Linked DNA regions of Caenorhabditis elegans. The protein of the gene in region 1 interacts with the protein of each later gene in a pairwise test. Each region holds a gene or a part of one and is shown in the gene's direction. Other genes may lie near its edges.

What was found.
Region 2: the proteins of sms-1 (region 1) and lin-45 interact in a two-hybrid assay, tested with the Caenorhabditis elegans proteins (one large-scale study listed by BioGRID).
Region 3: the proteins of sms-1 (region 1) and lips-2 interact in a two-hybrid assay, tested with the Caenorhabditis elegans proteins (one large-scale study listed by BioGRID).

What each region holds. Positions count from the first base shown.
Region 1 is NC_003282.8:11,495,173-11,500,197, reverse strand, and holds the start of sms-1 (Phosphatidylcholine:ceramide cholinephosphotransferase 1), read left to right. Parts: upstream 1-2,023; 5' UTR 2,024-2,030; coding exon 2,031-2,115; intron 2,116-3,835; coding exon 3,836-3,919; intron 3,920-4,859; exon of another isoform or gene 4,860-5,025. UniProt on the Caenorhabditis elegans protein: Sphingomyelin synthases (SM synthase or SMS) synthesize the sphingolipid sphingomyelin (SM) through transfer of the phosphatidyl head group of 1,2-diacyl-sn-glycero-3-phosphocholine (phosphatidylcholine, PC) on to the primary hydroxyl of ceramide (N-acylsphingoid base), yielding 1,2-diacyl-sn-glycerol (diacylglycerol, DAG) as a side product.
Region 2 is NC_003282.8:6,742,396-6,750,194, reverse strand, and holds lin-45 (Raf homolog serine/threonine-protein kinase), read left to right. Parts: upstream 1-1,770; coding exon 1,771-1,842; intron 1,843-2,380; exon of another isoform or gene 2,381-2,474; coding exon of another isoform or gene 2,475-2,495; intron 2,496-2,736; coding exon 2,737-2,907; intron 2,908-3,069; coding exon 3,070-3,252; intron 3,253-3,303; coding exon 3,304-3,426; intron 3,427-3,478; coding exon 3,479-3,739; intron 3,740-4,098; coding exon 4,099-4,398; intron 4,399-4,448; coding exon 4,449-4,572; intron 4,573-4,745; coding exon 4,746-4,960; intron 4,961-5,005; coding exon 5,006-5,128; intron 5,129-5,345; coding exon 5,346-5,604; intron 5,605-5,650; coding exon 5,651-5,747; intron 5,748-5,796; coding exon 5,797-6,208; intron 6,209-6,729; coding exon 6,730-6,957; 3' UTR 6,958-7,657; downstream 7,658-7,799. Other genes in the region: smg-7 (DNA/RNA-binding domain-containing protein), read left to right, coding at 7,765-7,799. UniProt on the Caenorhabditis elegans protein: Protein kinase that participates in the induction of vulva and has roles in fertility and viability. Acts downstream of the Ras protein let-60. Required for progression of developing oocytes through the pachytene stage.
Region 3 is NC_003284.9:12,283,809-12,287,815, forward strand, and holds lips-2 (LIPaSe related), read left to right. Parts: upstream 1-1,987; 5' UTR 1,988-2,015; coding exon 2,016-2,116; intron 2,117-2,168; coding exon 2,169-2,259; intron 2,260-2,305; coding exon 2,306-2,487; intron 2,488-2,544; coding exon 2,545-2,683; intron 2,684-2,726; coding exon 2,727-2,864; intron 2,865-2,910; coding exon 2,911-2,988; intron 2,989-3,058; coding exon 3,059-3,140; intron 3,141-3,186; coding exon 3,187-3,263; intron 3,264-3,307; coding exon 3,308-3,445; 3' UTR 3,446-3,478; downstream 3,479-4,007. Other genes in the region: C04B4.2 (EF-hand domain-containing protein), read left to right, coding at 1-42, 97-235, 284-965, 1,025-1,146; C04B4.5 (uncharacterized protein), read right to left, coding at 3,851-4,007.

The sequences.
Region 1 (5,025 bases):
TCTTTGCCAACTCACCAAAAATCAAGACTGAAATCTTCGACTCTACATTATCTAGGAGTCCCTATATATCGCAAGCTATTCTCAACTTTTAATACGCTATATATATTCTACGTTAACATAAATGCCCTCCCAATCGTATCTATATGAATATATTCTTCATTCAAAATGTTGTACTTGTGTTCCAAATTTTCAAAAAATTGTCGTCGTTTCCACCGCGATTTGTCTCGATAATCGGCCACAAAGTATTGTTGAAATAGGACAATTTTTGTTTATAACCCCGATTCAATTTTTTTATTTCAATTTCTTCCTTCTCTTCAATAATTATATTACTGCTCATTTGCGTCCCAGTTGGCAGTTATCAGCTTGTTATCAGATGTTTGAAAGTGCAAGTAAACTCAAAACAGAAAGGAGAGGAAAAGTCGAAAACAATGGATGTGGATTTCATAACTCATTTATTAAATATTCTCACCCCGATATAATAAATCACATTCATATCCGAAATAAATAAATAATGCATGCCAGGGGAATATATTTTTTTTGCCCCGAAATTTTGCTACAAAAATATGGTAACGGGTCCCGAGTAGGGACTCCCGACAGGACATTTTTGTTGAATGCGAAGAGTCATGCGCCTTTAAAGAGTACTGTAAAGTTTGCTGTAAAATTTTCAAACAAAAATATAATGAGTTACTGAAAAAATCCGATAAATTTTAACGATCGTTCGAATCGTGAAAAAAAATTTTAAAATGAAAATTCAGCAGTAAAGCTTGAAATTACGGTAACCTTTAAAGGCTAACACCCTTTTGTAAATCAAACATTCGTCGTGTCGAGACCGGGTACCGTATTTTTGGGACAAAATTTCGCGTCTGGGCCGGTGCCAACTAGCAGCTACTGTTTTTTAATTCAAACCGTAACATGCCAAAAGCGTCGAAAACTGATTGTTTTGTTGTCATTCTCCCCAGTCTCTTTTCGTGTTGATCCTCCAGCTGATCAAACATTGATTTGTCTCGAAAACAGAACGCCGGCCTTGTCCTTCATCTCTCTATGTCTCGTATCAAGGCAGAACCTAGCACACTCACTAGTTTTTTGTCTTGCTTTTGTCTTCTTCCGCATTAGCAATGAATTGATAGTATTGTTTTGAAAACTGATATCTTTGTGCTCTAACGTTTATATTTCTTTGACTGATAAACAAAAAAGAAATAGTATATGTCTCCATATGATCTCTCAATTGTTTATATTCATATTATTCTACCCCTCTTCCTCTTGTTTCCTTCCATATCATATCGTTTTTCCCCGATTGACCACCCTCCAACAGCTCACGACATCCATTTTTCAAGCATTTGTACCTAACATTTTCCTCTTAGAAAATGCGTTTTTGTTTTCTTTTCCACTACTGCCACCTGGGTGCACCTTTGTTCTTGTTGTCTCTACTTTGAGTTCTTTCTTTTTACTTCTATCTCTGCCTTTGCGTACATGCTCAATTAGACAGCCTTGAGTAAGAGTAGATAACTAAAATTCTAAAAATTGGCACCCTGCAGTCAAAAATGTCTAGCTTTTTTCATTGTAGTAATTTTCGGAAAAAAACTCAATTTAATTGTTTTTTTTTTAATCCTGAAATATAAATATTTAGAAAATAATCCGAGATTTTAATACATCACAACCAGTGTTTTTTTTTAATTTAAAACACTTTCGTTTATAATTCAAAAAATATATATTTTTAAAAAACTTTCAATTGAAATTCTGAAAAAATATTGATCAAAGGAAAAACAGATTTGAAACAATTTTAAGTAGCCTATACCGTAGGTCAATTTTAAAGGCACACACTGAATATCTGCGCATCGGTCTCGACGCGACTCATAAATAAGGCTTGTAAATTTGAATTCTTAATTTTATTTCTCTTCCTAAAAGCAGTTTTTATTCGGAGTTTGATGCTTTATTAGTTGTTTTTCTGAAAATTAGTATTAATTACACTTATAATTTTTATGTGACTTAATTTTACTCGTTTTACAGCGTAATTAAGCAGATTTTTCAGAATGTCGGTGACGGTGGAGGTTGCCGATGAAGAAACGCATGATGTTCCGCTGGTTGAGCAAGTTCGAACTACACCTGATCAAAACGGTGAGGCGATTTTTCGAAAATTAAGAAAAAAAAACAAATTTTAATCGGATCAAAAAATTACAAATTACGTGTCACACTGAATTGTTCCTCAGACAAACCATATCATACTAACTCAGAGTAAAAAGCGGAGTTACATAATGGTAAAGCACACTAACCGCAGTTCGGTGCAAGTGTGGTTTTACTCGGAGTAACCACGCTTTACTATGCCTAGCTCAGCTTTACTATGACTAGACCTGACTAGCTCTGACCAGCTCTGATTTACTATGACTAGGTCTACTTATTACCCTGATTAACTCTGATATTCTCTGACTAGCTATGATTTACTATGCCTAGCTCTGATTTACTCTGACCAACTCTGATTTGCTATGACTTTTTCTCAAATTTTTCTGCTGATTCTGATTTTTTTTTCTAGAAAAGGGGATCCAAATATCAATAATAAATCAGTAGAAAACGCATATTAAAGACAAAAATGTTTTCTAGAGAACCCCTACTACTTGCTTATTGCCTCTCCTTGTCAACCCTTCGCCCTGCTTCATAGAACCTTCCCTTCAAGCCCCTGCCGTTTCCCGAACCCCGATCTTCTGATTACTAATCCCATCCCTTAACCACTAAGCTATGCACGCGCCGATAACACAGTGGAACATATCCATATATAAACAAATCAATGGTCGAAATCTGTATTACCTGTACAGAAAGTGTAGATAGTTAGAGAGTGACAGACATCCGGGACCCAATGGGGCGGGACGCGCGGAAGAGACGATTTGTGTCGATTTACGACATTTTCCTCGTTGTCATCATTTCGTAAATCGACACAAATCGTCTCTTCCGCGCGCCCCGCCCCATTGGGTCCCGGATGTCTGTCACTCTCTAACTATCTACACTCTCTGTGCCGGTAATAACACACCGTTTCTCTCAAAGTGAACTATGAAATCTGAAATTCCCGCAAAAAAAACTTCTCGAGAAAACTAAAAACTTCCTACAGTACTACTACAGTACCTTGACCATATCCCCCTACTAACTTCAAGTCAATACCTCTTCAAAAGTCAAAAATTCAAATGTTCCCAAACTACAGTAACCCCACCGTATACCTACAGTACCCTACATTTTCTCGCATCTCGTGTGCAGTTTAGCGATGGGAGAACCTGACACTGTGTAAAAATACATAATGAAACTTTTCAATTTGTTAGCTCTTTTAAATTTTTCATGTATTGTCAAAAATCGGGAATTACTCTGTTCTCCAAATACTAATTTTAGAAGTCGATCAGAAAAACAGTATTTAATGATTTTTTTTCTGATTTGTCTTGCGATTTTTTTTTTTCAAACTTGCTTCGAAAAGTTATAATTCAAAGTCAAAATATGATCACACATAAGTATTGTATGATATCATGAAACGAGAAAACTAAAATTTAAATTCCCGCCTGAAATTCGAAGGGTCAGTAAGTGCGCTCCACTATATGGGTAATTTCATAGCTAGTCAGGGCTAGTCAGATCTAGGTAGAACTAGACAGAGTAAATCAAGTCTGACTTACTCTGCCTAGTTCTACCTAGATCTGACTAGCCCTGACTAGCTCTGCTTTGTCGATTGGAATAAATCATAGTTACTTTACTCTGATTTCCTCTTCCTAGATCTGGCTAACTATGCCTAGCTCGGAATTGGTCTGATTGTACTTTGTCGATCTGATTTACTCTGTCACTCAAAACACCTAAACAATTGTTTCAGTTGATGTAAAAGTCCAAGAAAACAACGTCGTAACAACGAAAATTGGGCCAAAACTCGAAACAATTCCAGCAGCAAAAATGCAAGGTACGTTCAACTGTTGGCTAGAGTTTTCGAAACATAGCTGTAGTGGTTGTAGTTTTTGAAGGGTAAACAGATATTTAGCCGATTTCTGTTCGAATCGCTGTTCTGAGCATTGCCACCGAGCCATCGGTTACCCAACTGTGTCAACATTTAATGACCGAATGGGATGTTAAAAATAGGAAATTGGGGATTTGAGCGGCCTGTAGGAAAATGGTAATAAAATAATTCAATCATGCAAATACAATTTCAACACTAAAAATTTCTGTTCACATTGCCAATATTGTTTTTTAAGGGGGAGTAGAGTTTGTCGGGTTTCTAAAGTCCGAGAAAGTTTGGGTCAGAATTTCGAAAAATGAAGGCAAATGTTTTTTCTAAAATCAGAGATTTCGCCAACTTGGCGTTTTCGTGGGTGCTGGAATACAGTTTTTATCAAATTATCGATCTTTATTGCATACTTTTCTCGTTTATTACGCGTTAATTCGTAGATTTAAGCGCATTTTAAGTCGGTAGGCATCCAATTTTGGTAATTTTTGGGCGCCGACCATTTTAAAATGTGCCCTAATCAACGAATTAACACTTGATAAGCGAGGAAATTATACAATAAATGTTGATAACATAATAAAAATTGTATTCCAGGTGCTGCTACGAAAACGTCAAGTTGCGGAAATTTCAGCTTCTCCGCCATTAAAACAAATTTTGGAAATTTTTCGGTTGTTTCGGGCCCTTTTTTTAATTAAAAACCCAAAATCCCTACTCCCTCTTTAAAAATGAATCGACTATTTTTCGGAAAACCTACTCCACTTCAGTGTACGTCATCAAGAAACAACACTTGTAAGAGCATTATCCAGATTACATGTCCGTTAGTTTTTTCTTCTTCTCTTGTAAGAAATTTCATCCGTCTTCTTCCAGCAGATCTAATCAACTTATACCTCTTCTTTTTTGCGTTCTTTGTCATCCTAGTTTTGCTCCGCTTCAAAAAAAAAGGAGCGGAGCCTCTTTGTGTGCCAAACGGAGAAATACGAAGAGAAACAGAGAAGCCGCTGGGACCCTTTTCTAGAAGGGAATGCTCCATCTTCAGACGGCTCCCTCGCATCGATTCCAGGGTCCCT
Region 2 (7,799 bases), 4.8 Mb from region 1:
ATGTAGTAAAAAGACAAACTTTGAGTACAACGAGCACACAGAGTATGAAGAGGTTTTTGAGCGACTAAACATAGAAATTTTTTCACTGTTTCAAGGGATCTAGTTTAAAATCGAAAAATCGATTTTTCGATTATAATCTTTGATTATAATCTTTGAATAGCGTTCAATTTGAAATGTCCAATGCTCTTAAACTTTTAACTGTAGAGGTAGATTTGGTGTTAATTTCTAAAGCTGGCGAAAACCTTGCAATAGATACTTTTAAACTTTTTTGGAGCTCGTTTGAGCATGTCGGCTGAAAATTTCTGAAGACAGGACGTCCCAATGTACGATTCAAAGTTAATTTCGATGAAGCCAAATTTCTGAATTTCTGTTGAAAATCTATATTAAGAACTACGATATCTCACATTAAAATGAAAATAATTGTTATTTTGCGAACTACAATTATACTGAAATAGGTTTTTTTTTGAAATTCTAGTGATCAAAGAAATTTGAAAAAGTTTTGTATAGTCAACATTAGATCAAAATAATGCTTTCGTAGTTTGTTTATTTAAAACTTTTAATAATAATCTTTAGAACCTCAATCTTTTTGATAAACCAAAACAAATATTTGATAGAAAAATGACCTCTTTGATGTGGAATATAGTGTATTTTGTTTCTTTTTTGAGGAATTGTTCGCACTTTTCAAGTGGAAATTGGCGGAAAAAGATGAGAATAGAGTGGAATGAAGAGGCGGAACGAACAAAACACATTTGATGCGCGATCCCATTGATTTTTATTCGTAGAATTTGGATTTTTTTCATAGATTTTTCAAAATAGATTTTTAGACTCACGCTTATTCCTCAAAACATGTATCAACTCAGATGGGTCTCGTCGCGAGAAAACACATTAAGACATATGTTTTAATCTCCGTGATGCCAGCTGCTTTTATTCTGCTTTCCAACTTTCGAAAATTTAGTTTCAAAATAACTGTTTAAAAGTGGTAAAGTTGACAAATGTTAAGATAATAAGTTGATAAGTAATACTTAAGTTAAGTTGATTCCAAGGAAGCAAATGATACCAAATTTTTCTAAATCCTAGAATGAACTATTTTTTCGTGGCAAGACCAATCTTAACAGATCAGTTCACTTTTCAGAAAATTTGAAAATTACCATAACGTAAAGGTAATCAGTTGAGTCATGTAATCCCTTTTTTCTCAAAAATGTCCACATTCTGCAAAATCTTAGTTGCAATATGTCACAGACATTTGTCTAGTCTGTCAGTTTCAGATAAACTTTTCCCGTTTTTTCAACTTTCACAGCTAATTCGGGGTGTACTAACTAGAAGTAGCTTATTAACCAAATGTCATCTAGTTCCTTCTTTTATAATTTGATTAGTGGTTTTTTTCGAATATATTCTTTTCTAGTTTGTGTTTTGTCACGTATGACCTTGTTTCTTCAAATCAACTTGCTGCTCTCTTCACAAACTAAGGTCATCTGTTTCGTGTTAAGACCCAACGCTGAAAACATTGTCAACCTATTCGTGGCACGTGTCGCTCCCGATTTACACGTTTCTTTTTCTTTGCTCTCTTTTTCTATCTCTCTCGATCAGAGCACAGAAACCAGTGAGAAAAAATAGATGGCGAAAACAAACCCCGCCTCTCTTTTTTTGTGTGTGAAGAGAACCATTGGATCCAAAGGGGCCCCTGTTAACAATATATTTTTACTTTCTGAAATTCTTCTAAAGTTATCTGGAGATAATTATATTCCATAATTGATCACATAACATTTTAAAATGTCTGCAATGGCTGTACTGTATTCAGTTTGTCACTTTCATGGAGGCTGGAATCGTCGGAAATCGGCACCAGTAAGTTGAAAACTGATTTAAATCAATAGGGTACACTCTGTGAAATCATAGTGATATTTGAATAATCAAATGACTTTATGAAGCAACCCGCGGGGCTTCTGTATTGAGAAAATACACGATTGCATTTAAAACTTTGCGAACACAATTGTTTAATTGGCCAGCAAATTGAACATTCGTGATTCCTTTTTTGAACATGGGAATCCCACGTTTCATTCGTAACATCTTTTTCAATACAAGTTTTAACTTTTCTTTTCAGCTATCGAGTTACTGTAGATTTGAAAAGTTAATTTATCAACTAATGAAAATAAACGTATTCCATATTTCCATTAATAATAGATTTATTTAAAGCTTCACTCCATCTACATAAATTCATATAACCGAGCGCAACGCTGTCCTTATTATTTGAAAATTCTAATAAACCCTGCAAAATCTGGGTTAAAATCTTCTGCGCGAAAATGGAAGAGAAAAGTGTGTTCGGCCCGCGGACTAACTCCCTCCGTGTACTCTTCTCGGAAAAGAAAAAAATCATCTTTGCGCCCCTTACCGCCGCTCTCTTTCTTTTGTTGACCTTCTATCTGCGAATATATTGATTTTCTGGTTTATTTTATTTTGGAATTAACTGCAATTTTCACATGGAATGCTCTCGCGAAACGGTGTGTTTTCGAACGTTTTCCACAAATAAAATGAAAGTGAAAAATGCTAAAGGGAAACATTTATTTGTTCAGATTGTTTTAAAAAGTGCTTCACAATAATAAAATAGAGCATCTGAAAAGTAATTTACTTATTGCTTGTTCTGATTTCTCAAATGTCCTTTAAAAGTCCGTGTTTAATGTTTTACTCGTCCAAATTGTCCTTTTGTTTTTTAATTACATGTAATCACTAACAGCAATTTAGAAGTCACCTGTCACATCATCTCAAACGCCATCATCATCGTCGACACGCCGCCGAATGAGTCGGATTAATTTCAAAAAGTCATCGGCGTCGACCACCCCGACGAGCCCACATTGCCCATCTCCGCGGCTTATAAGTCTGCCGAGATGTGCTTCTTCATCTATTGATCGGAAGGTAGAAAATTAGCAACGAATCCTTTGTCTTGAATTTTTTAACACTAATTACATGTTACTTGTGGGGAATCGTGTTAATCTATTCAATTCAGAATCAAGCGTCCACTTCTCATTCCAAAGATTATCAATTAAATATTTATATGTAACTCATAATTATTTTCAGGATCAAGCTTCGCCGATGGCAAGTCCTTCAACTCCTCTTTATCCAAAGCACAGTGATAGTCTTCATTCGTTATCTGGACATCATTCCGCTGGAGGAGCAGGAACAAGTGACAAGGAACCGCCAAAATTCAAATACAAAATGATTATGGTTCATTTGCCATTTGATCAACATTCTAGGGTTGAAGTAAGCAAAAAATTCACTGTGAAACGAAGAAAATAAGCACATTTTGTTCAGGTTCGTCCCGGTGAAACCGCGCGGGATGCCATTTCGAAATTGCTCAAAAAACGGAATATCACACCTCAATTATGTCACGTGAACGCGTCATCTGACCCAAAACAAGAATCTATTGAATTATCGGTGTGATTTACTGGAATCTAACAGCATAATTCTTATTTTTGAATATTTTCAGCTGACAATGGAAGAGATCGCATCCCGACTGCCTGGAAATGAATTATGGGTTCATTCAGAATATCTGAATACAGTCTCATCGATTAAACATGCAATTGTTCGAAGAACGTTTATTCCACCGAAATCATGTGATGTATGCAATAATCCTATCTGGATGATGGGATTTCGATGTGAATTTTGTCAATTCAAATTTCATCAAAGATGCTCATCGTTTGCACCACTTTATTGCGATTTGTTACAATCTGTACCGAAAAATGAAGATGTGCGTTCAGAACAAAGGCGGGCGGCAATATTACAAAATTACCAATGTTGTCCCAACATTTGTCATTAACGTCGAAATATAGAAAACCACATTATTTATCTAATGACAACTTTTAATTATGTTTAAAGATCTGTGAAAATGCACAATAATGGCCATTTGCCATAGGCAATTCGCAACTTCTAGGTCATTTTTGTGCATTTTCATAGATGTTTAAACATAATTAAAAGTTATCATTAGATAATTAAGGTGGTTCTATATATTTTTTACACTGATTTTTAATGAAAAATGTTGGAACAACATGGCGTAATTGCTCACCTCTGCTTCAGAAACAATTCTTATCTAAAACATTTAATTTTCAGCTAGTGAAAGAACTCTTTGGGATCGCATCACAAGTCGAAGGCCCAGATAGATCAGTTGCCGAAATAGTTCTTGCTAATCTAGCTCCAACGAGTGGACAAAGTCCAGCTGCCACACCAGACAGTTCTCATCCAGATTTGACGAGTATTAAACGAACGGGTGGTGTCAAAAGACATCCAATGGCTGTTTCTCCACAGAATGAAACATCTCAATTATCTCCATCCGGACCTTATCCACGGGATCGGAGCTCTTCTGCTCCGAATATCAATGCGATTAATGATGAGGCAACAGTTCAACATAATGTAATAGTCACCAATTTTAAAAGAAAAAGTCTAAAATGTATTATTTTCAGCAAAGAATTCTTGATGCATTGGAAGCTCAGCGATTAGAAGAAGAATCACGAGATAAAACTGGATCGTTACTTTCAACACAAGCACGTCATCGACCTCATTTCCAGAGTGGACATATTTTGTCAGGTAATCGAAAACAGAAAACATAACGATTCGTCAAAAGGTCAGGGAAGAAAAACAAAATTCCAAATTTAAGACGTTTTTCTAAAGTTATAAAAACAATTTTTACTCTATTCCACCTTCAAGAATTTCCCAAACGACTCTAATTATTTTAATTTCACTTATTCTCAATTATTCAGGAGCTCGAATGAATCGTCTTCACCCACTTGTTGACTGTACTCCTCTTGGCTCGAATTCTCCTTCATCTACATGTTCATCACCTCCAGGTGGCTTAATCGGACAACCTACTCTTGGACAATCCCCGAATGTATCAGGATCAACGACGTCATCATTAGTAGCCGCTCATTTGCATACTCTCCCATTAACACCACCACAATCAGCACCTCCTCAGAAGGTAGAATTCAAAAAAATCTATTTTTCTTCAATTAAAAATGTTTAGATTTCACCTGGTTTCTTCCGAAATCGTAGTCGATCGCCAGGCGAACGACTTGATGCACAACGACCCAGGCCGCCACAGAAACCACATCATGAGGATTGGGAAATATTGCCGAATGAATTTATTGTAAGTTTATTCTACATCAGCAAGGGTGCACGGCTTTTGCAAACCGGCAGTTCTACAAAAGGAGCATGTTATCCTAATTTTTTTCATTTAAATTCAGTGATCGAATATAGAAAAAAAACATTTTATTTATCTGAAAATAGCTTTTTTTTTTACAGTTGAAGCAATAAAAAAACGCTCAAAACTTCTGTCAAAACTATTAAAACAAGCATTCTTTTAGATTCAATACAAAGTTGGTTCGGGATCCTTCGGTACCGTCTATCGTGGAGAATTCTTCGGAACTGTTGCTATAAAAAAGCTGAATGTTGTTGATCCGACGCCTTCTCAAATGGCAGCCTTTAAAAATGAAGTTGCAGTTTTAAAGAAAACACGTCATTTGAATGTTTTGCTGTTTATGGGATGGGTTCGAGAACCAGAAATTGCAATTATTACTCAATGGTGTGAAGGATCGAGTTTGTATAGACATATTCATGTTCAAGGTGATCTGAACTGAGATTTTAATTCTTATAATTTAATAATTTTCAGAGCCACGCGTCGAATTTGAAATGGGTGCTATCATTGATATACTGAAGCAAGTGTCTCTTGGAATGAATTATTTACATTCAAAAAATATTATTCATCGGTAACTGACCATATCTATAATTTATGTTTAAATGTTTAAAACATTTCAGTGACTTGAAAACGAACAATATATTCCTTATGGATGACATGTCAACGGTAAAAATTGGAGATTTCGGCTTGGCAACTGTCAAAACGAAATGGACAGTGAACGGAGGTCAACAGCAACAACAACCAACAGGAAGTATTCTCTGGATGGCACCTGAAGTCATCAGAATGCAAGATGATAATCCATATACCCCACAGTCTGATGTGTATTCTTTTGGAATATGCATGTACGAAATTCTATCTTCGCATCTACCATACTCCAACATTAATAATCGAGATCAGATATTGTTTATGGTTGGAAGAGGGTATTTGAGGCCGGATAGATCGAAAATTCGACATGATACGCCGAAGAGCATGCTCAAATTATATGACAATTGCATTATGTTCGATAGAAATGAGCGGCCAGTATTTGGAGAGGTGAGTGGGAAATACCGACTTTAGAAATTTGGTAGAACTATGATTTATTATGGGGTTATTCATGAGTGTCAAAAAACTTTTAAAAAATCGATTTTTTGTACTTTGTACATGTTTCGACAGCGTCGACGAGCGAAAAACTACAGTAAGCCGCCATGCGGCGAGACCATACGTTTTCATATGACTATGTCTCTTCAAAAGTTGTGTAAATTTACGAGCTGGGCGTTCTCCCCGTGTACACCGCGAGGACAATTCGGAATTTATTTTCTTCCAGTACTTCACACATTTTCGCTCTTTTTTTTCACATTTAAAATTGGCAGTTTTGTCTAAATATGGTGGCTTCCTTTGATTTTTCACTCTTTGACGCTGTCGAAAAATGGATAAAAACATGCTTTTAAGAAATCGATGTATTTTTTAAAAACATTTTTTTCGCTCATGAATAACTCCACTACACTGAAAAATCCAAAAAAATATTGTAGTTTGATTTTTAAATAAATTTTAATGAATGAATTCCAATTTTTCAGGTTCTCGAACGACTTCGCGACATAATTCTTCCAAAATTGACTCGTTCTCAATCAGCTCCGAATGTTCTTCACTTAGACTCGCAATATTCGGTGATGGATGCTGTAATGAGAAGCCAAATGCTTTCCTGGTCATATATTCCACCTGCAACTGCAAAAACCCCACAATCAGCAGCAGCAGCGGCCGCTGCTAACAAGAAGGCATACTACAATGTCTATGGTCTCATTTAGTTTTATTTTGTTTTTTTTTTTGAAAATCAAGGGACACTGCAACTTTTTAGTTGATTTTCTCGTCTCTCCCCGAATATGTACCTTTATTTTCTCTCTTTTTTCTATTCTTCCCAGTGATTTTCCCTACCCCATGTGTACACTAACCAAAAAACTTCCAGTCGAAGAATAATCTCGCCCATCGTTATTTTACTAATCATTTCTCGTCACATTGAATCCTGTTCTATTATTCACCCCCTCATCACCCATCCCGATATTATTATTATTATTTTAACCCCGTATTCACCGTTTCCTCCAAAACTTAAAAATCCCACCAAAATACTTTCTTTCCAGTCTAAGTCCGCCTGCAATCGTTCCCCCATGTGAAATTGTGATAATTTTCATATTTTTGTTTCGGCTAAACCGGTAGAACTTTTTCTTTTCCAACTATAATGCTTTTTATTGAAAACGTTTCTTTTGATAAGTTTTCAATGTTCCCACCCCATTTCCGTTTCCAAACATCCCAAAGATTCTCTGTATGTATAGAATTATATAGAATCCAATGCCTATCCGTTTTGTTTTTGTCATTTCGAACACATTTTGAAACTTCCATTTATTTTAATTTCAAAATGCAGCATCCCCATTCCTTTTCTGAACCGGGTTATTTGAATCATTTAATTTTTGCAAACAAAAAAAGTTGAAGATAAAATAATTTTTCGCCTGACTTCCTGTTTCTTCTTTTGAGTGGCTAGAAAAAGTGTAGGATTTCAGATTAATATTTTAAAATTTGAAAAAAAAACAAAACAATTTTGTTCCAGAGGATTCCACAGGATGTCGGACGAATGGGAACAGCTTACTGTAGAGTT
Region 3 (4,007 bases), on another chromosome or scaffold:
GCTCTTCCAGCAACAAGCTGTCCTCTCTTTGCCACTGAGCAGGTAAGCATTACAGAATTGATTTTTGAAACTCTCTCTCTTAAAATATATTTTCAGCATGATAAGTGAGTTGGGCAAGTTCGGTGAAGACGATGTCTCTCAATACATTGGTATTTCGGATGAAGAACGTGGCATGTTCATCAAGCGTCGCACCCATCTTTTCACTGTTGGATGGAACGATTTGGTCACTCTTCAGGTTTGTTCACAAATTTTGAAATGAAATAGCATATTGTTTTTTTTTCAGAGTCCAGACTTCTACCAGGCGATTGTTCTAATCCTTTCGTACATCCTTTGCAACGGAGGTGTCACATCAACTGAGAATGTCTTCGAGTTCTACCAGACCGATAACGTGCCGCTGTCTGTTCGTCAACGTACGGGAAGTGACATGAATTCCTTCCGGGAAATTATCGATTTTCACTCGTGGGCGTTCACTTTATCATCTCACGGTACCTATGTTTCTGCCAAGAGAAACTTGCCACATTTCGACTACATGTCCTTCTTCGAAGGAATTGTGTGCACCGCAACACCACAACGACATCAGAAGAGTAAGCTTCTCAAGCACCCACCAGGATTGCAAATTCCACTGTTGAATACCAGAGCACAAGCTCTTGGGCAGGCATCCATGCATCAGCAACAGCAGGAACACATTTCTAATCCGTATCAAGGATATCAGCCATATTTGCACCGTGAAGATATGACCAATGGAATGAAGAAGCCAACTGGGACTCTGATCGATGGAGCAAACCAAAAGCATTGTTTTGGGATGCAGGTTTCATCACCGGACCGGAATGCTTTCGAAAAGCCATCAGTATTTGGCCACACATGGGGTGATGTGATCGCTTTCAATAAGAACTCTGCAAACTTCTCACGTGGAATGCAATCCAAGAGAAGATACAATCTCTCCTCCATGTTCAGAAACCTGAAGTGTAAGTTTTCTTTAGAAAATAGTTCATCGTTTTCGTTCATCGGCTTAAATAATTTTCAGATTCTGGATTCCGCTCATCAATTGACTCCACGTCAAGCTCCGACGATTCTCAATCCTTGGATAATTGCTCGACTTCTGGTGTGAACAACATGCTCATTGGTTGCGGTCCACAAATGTATTAGATATTTTTTGAGCTTGTATTCTTTTTGCCATAGTGCCAATTGTCCGTAAATTTATGTTCCCATTTTTTACCAAAAAACTCCCCGTATAGTTTTATCACACCAACCCTATTGTGTTCCCATCCCCTAGTTTATTGATTGCCGGTATCTCCTTAGAACGAGGTATCAAGAGTATTGCCTTGCTTCTTGCTTCTCATGATAATTATTAATCAATGACCCATATAATAGATTTGATTATAGTATTAACTGAAATTTATAATATTCCCTTCTCCTTTTGTTGCCTTGGTTAAGCATTCAAGTTTTACATTTGTCATTAAAATGTTCTTTCTATAGAGTTTTGAATAAAAACTGATTTCAGATCGAATAAGAAAATGCGTTTTCTGGAAGTACGTATTTACTTAGATTGGACTGCATCAGAAAGCGTTAAAATCCGATTTCCGAACGGTTAAGATGTCCCTACGAGGGACGCCATTTCTCTAAACCACGCTTAACCTCTATGGAAAAATACTGTATATTCCCGCAATCTATGACCGAATGAAGCGGTCGTTTCCGTGGCATCAAATTGATGACTTCGTTTTTACAATATTTTGTTGTTAACAAATTATCGATTTCTGCCACAGAAAAGTTGTTTATATGTAGTAGTGTTTGCTGTATTTGCGGCTCGTCACAAGTTAACCACGTCGGATTATTTTTCAAGTATTCCTTATGTTTTTCTTTCTTATTGATGTTTGTTCTTGAATGATTTAGGGATGGTTCAAAAAGTGGTTCCATACGTCACGTGATGCCTAATCGAATTAAAGACGTTGAAAGCAGACCAAAAAGTGTTAGCTCGTCAGTCTCAGTTCAACGTTTCGCTTTCATATACATACACCATGAAGCCCGAAATCTATGTTTTTATACTGTCATCATATCTCTACCGGTGTTTTGCCATTGTTGGTCCTATCACAGAAGATTTTGTGCAATACTTGAAAGAGTGCGTTTAAGGGAATTACAGATAATGAGAACTCTTATCAAATCAAATTCAGAGTGGAACATACAAATTCCGGGTTGCTTCGCCACGTTAAAAGTTTCGATCACACTGGGTCATTCGGAGGGAAAAGTTTTCCACAAGAAAAAGTAGAAACAAGAATAGGTTATTGAAAATAGAAAATTTAACTTTCAGGTTAAACATTCACCAATTGTATTCATTCACGGAAATTCGGATTCTGCGTTGAAATATGGTAATGATCAATATCAGTCCGGTTGGGACACAGTTGTCCAGTATTTTATGGATCGTGGATATACGCTGGCAGAGCTATATGGAATATCTTATGGTGACAGGAACATGACACAATCTGTTTTTAGGTAGAAAATTATACTACACATTGACTTTGGTTCTGTAAACCTAGAAATTGATTCTAGAGTTTTCAACTGTCAGGACCTATTGCTCCATCGCCAGCTTCTTCTCTCAGTTTTAGTGTACACCGGTGCCCGACATATTGACATCATTGCTCATTCAATGGGAGTAAGCATCGCACGGGCAATTATCCAAGGCGGAAAAGTTTATATTTTTGAATACTTATTCTTAATCAAGGAATTTGTAGTTCACATCAGAGAAAGAATCGTGTGACCTTGGTTCAGACTTTTCATCTTTAATAGGAACATTCATAGCAATTTCCTCTGCAAATTATGGAATGTGTTCATGTGAAGCTGGCACGGCTTTTCCAGCTTGTGACAAAGAAGTGATACGAAAAATTAACCCATTGGAGTATTAATTCGAAGTTTCAGATTGGTTTTTTCCCGGGTTATTGTCCAAGACAAAACTGTTCTTCTCCAAGTATTAAAATTGGTGCTCAATGCTATAAGGCAAGTTTTGAATTGATAACTTTAAATTGCGTTCAGGAACCAATTGGAAAGCAAAAAATCTTTTCTTCAGACAAAGTACTCCAAATTTCTAACAAAGCTCAATAAAGTTCATAAAAAAGAAGCAGAATTCATAGCCAGTATTTGGAGCAAAGGTAAAACCTAGAAATATCTTTTGAAACAAACATCAGAAAATTTCAGATGATGAAGTTTTTCTGAAAGGGAATCTAGTTTGGGGAAAACAGACATCATTGGTCCCAGGCAGCAACATTTGGAAGGTTGAATTTCATTTGAACAATAATTAAATTATATTCTATTGCAGGAGTATCCTCAGTTAACACATATGGAAACTAAAACTGAAACAGCAGCGGACCAATTTAAAATCATTACTTCAAGATCTGCTCCGTCAGCGCAAACTAAAAAATCATATGCGAAAAGAAAAAACTGGAATTTTTATTGACAGAATTGAATGCATAAAGATTTATATCACTTTATAGTTTTTGGTAGTTCAAGCTCATTGTTCAAATGAAAAGTTTTTCATGTTCACGGTGTACTTCAACTTTTTTTTATTCGTTAATTTTTAGGTTTGTATCAAGATTTTGTTTCAACCGAGTATTAGCGTACAGCAACTTTTACAGTTTTCAGCAATCAAAAATTTTTAGATTGGACAATTTTGGCAACTACCGATGACAACATCAAATAACAATTACATCTTGAAAAACAGAGACACTCTGAAAGAGGCCAATATCTCACCTTAAAAGAAAGAATAAAAACGATTGTTTTAAAAAATATGTACATATGAAAAGTTCCACCCTAATCTTTTGGCAACTTCGGAAAAAAAATTCCAAGTAGTGACACTTTGCAATTAAAATTCATGATCAGTTATTATTTTTTTTTTTCGATTTGAGAGTCTGGACCAAAAATCAGATTCGGAAAAAAATTTGAGACTGCAAGATTGAAAAATTGAGATTGTACAATGTTCACTGTTAAAACTCGATAATGATACAAAACTAGAACCGAAT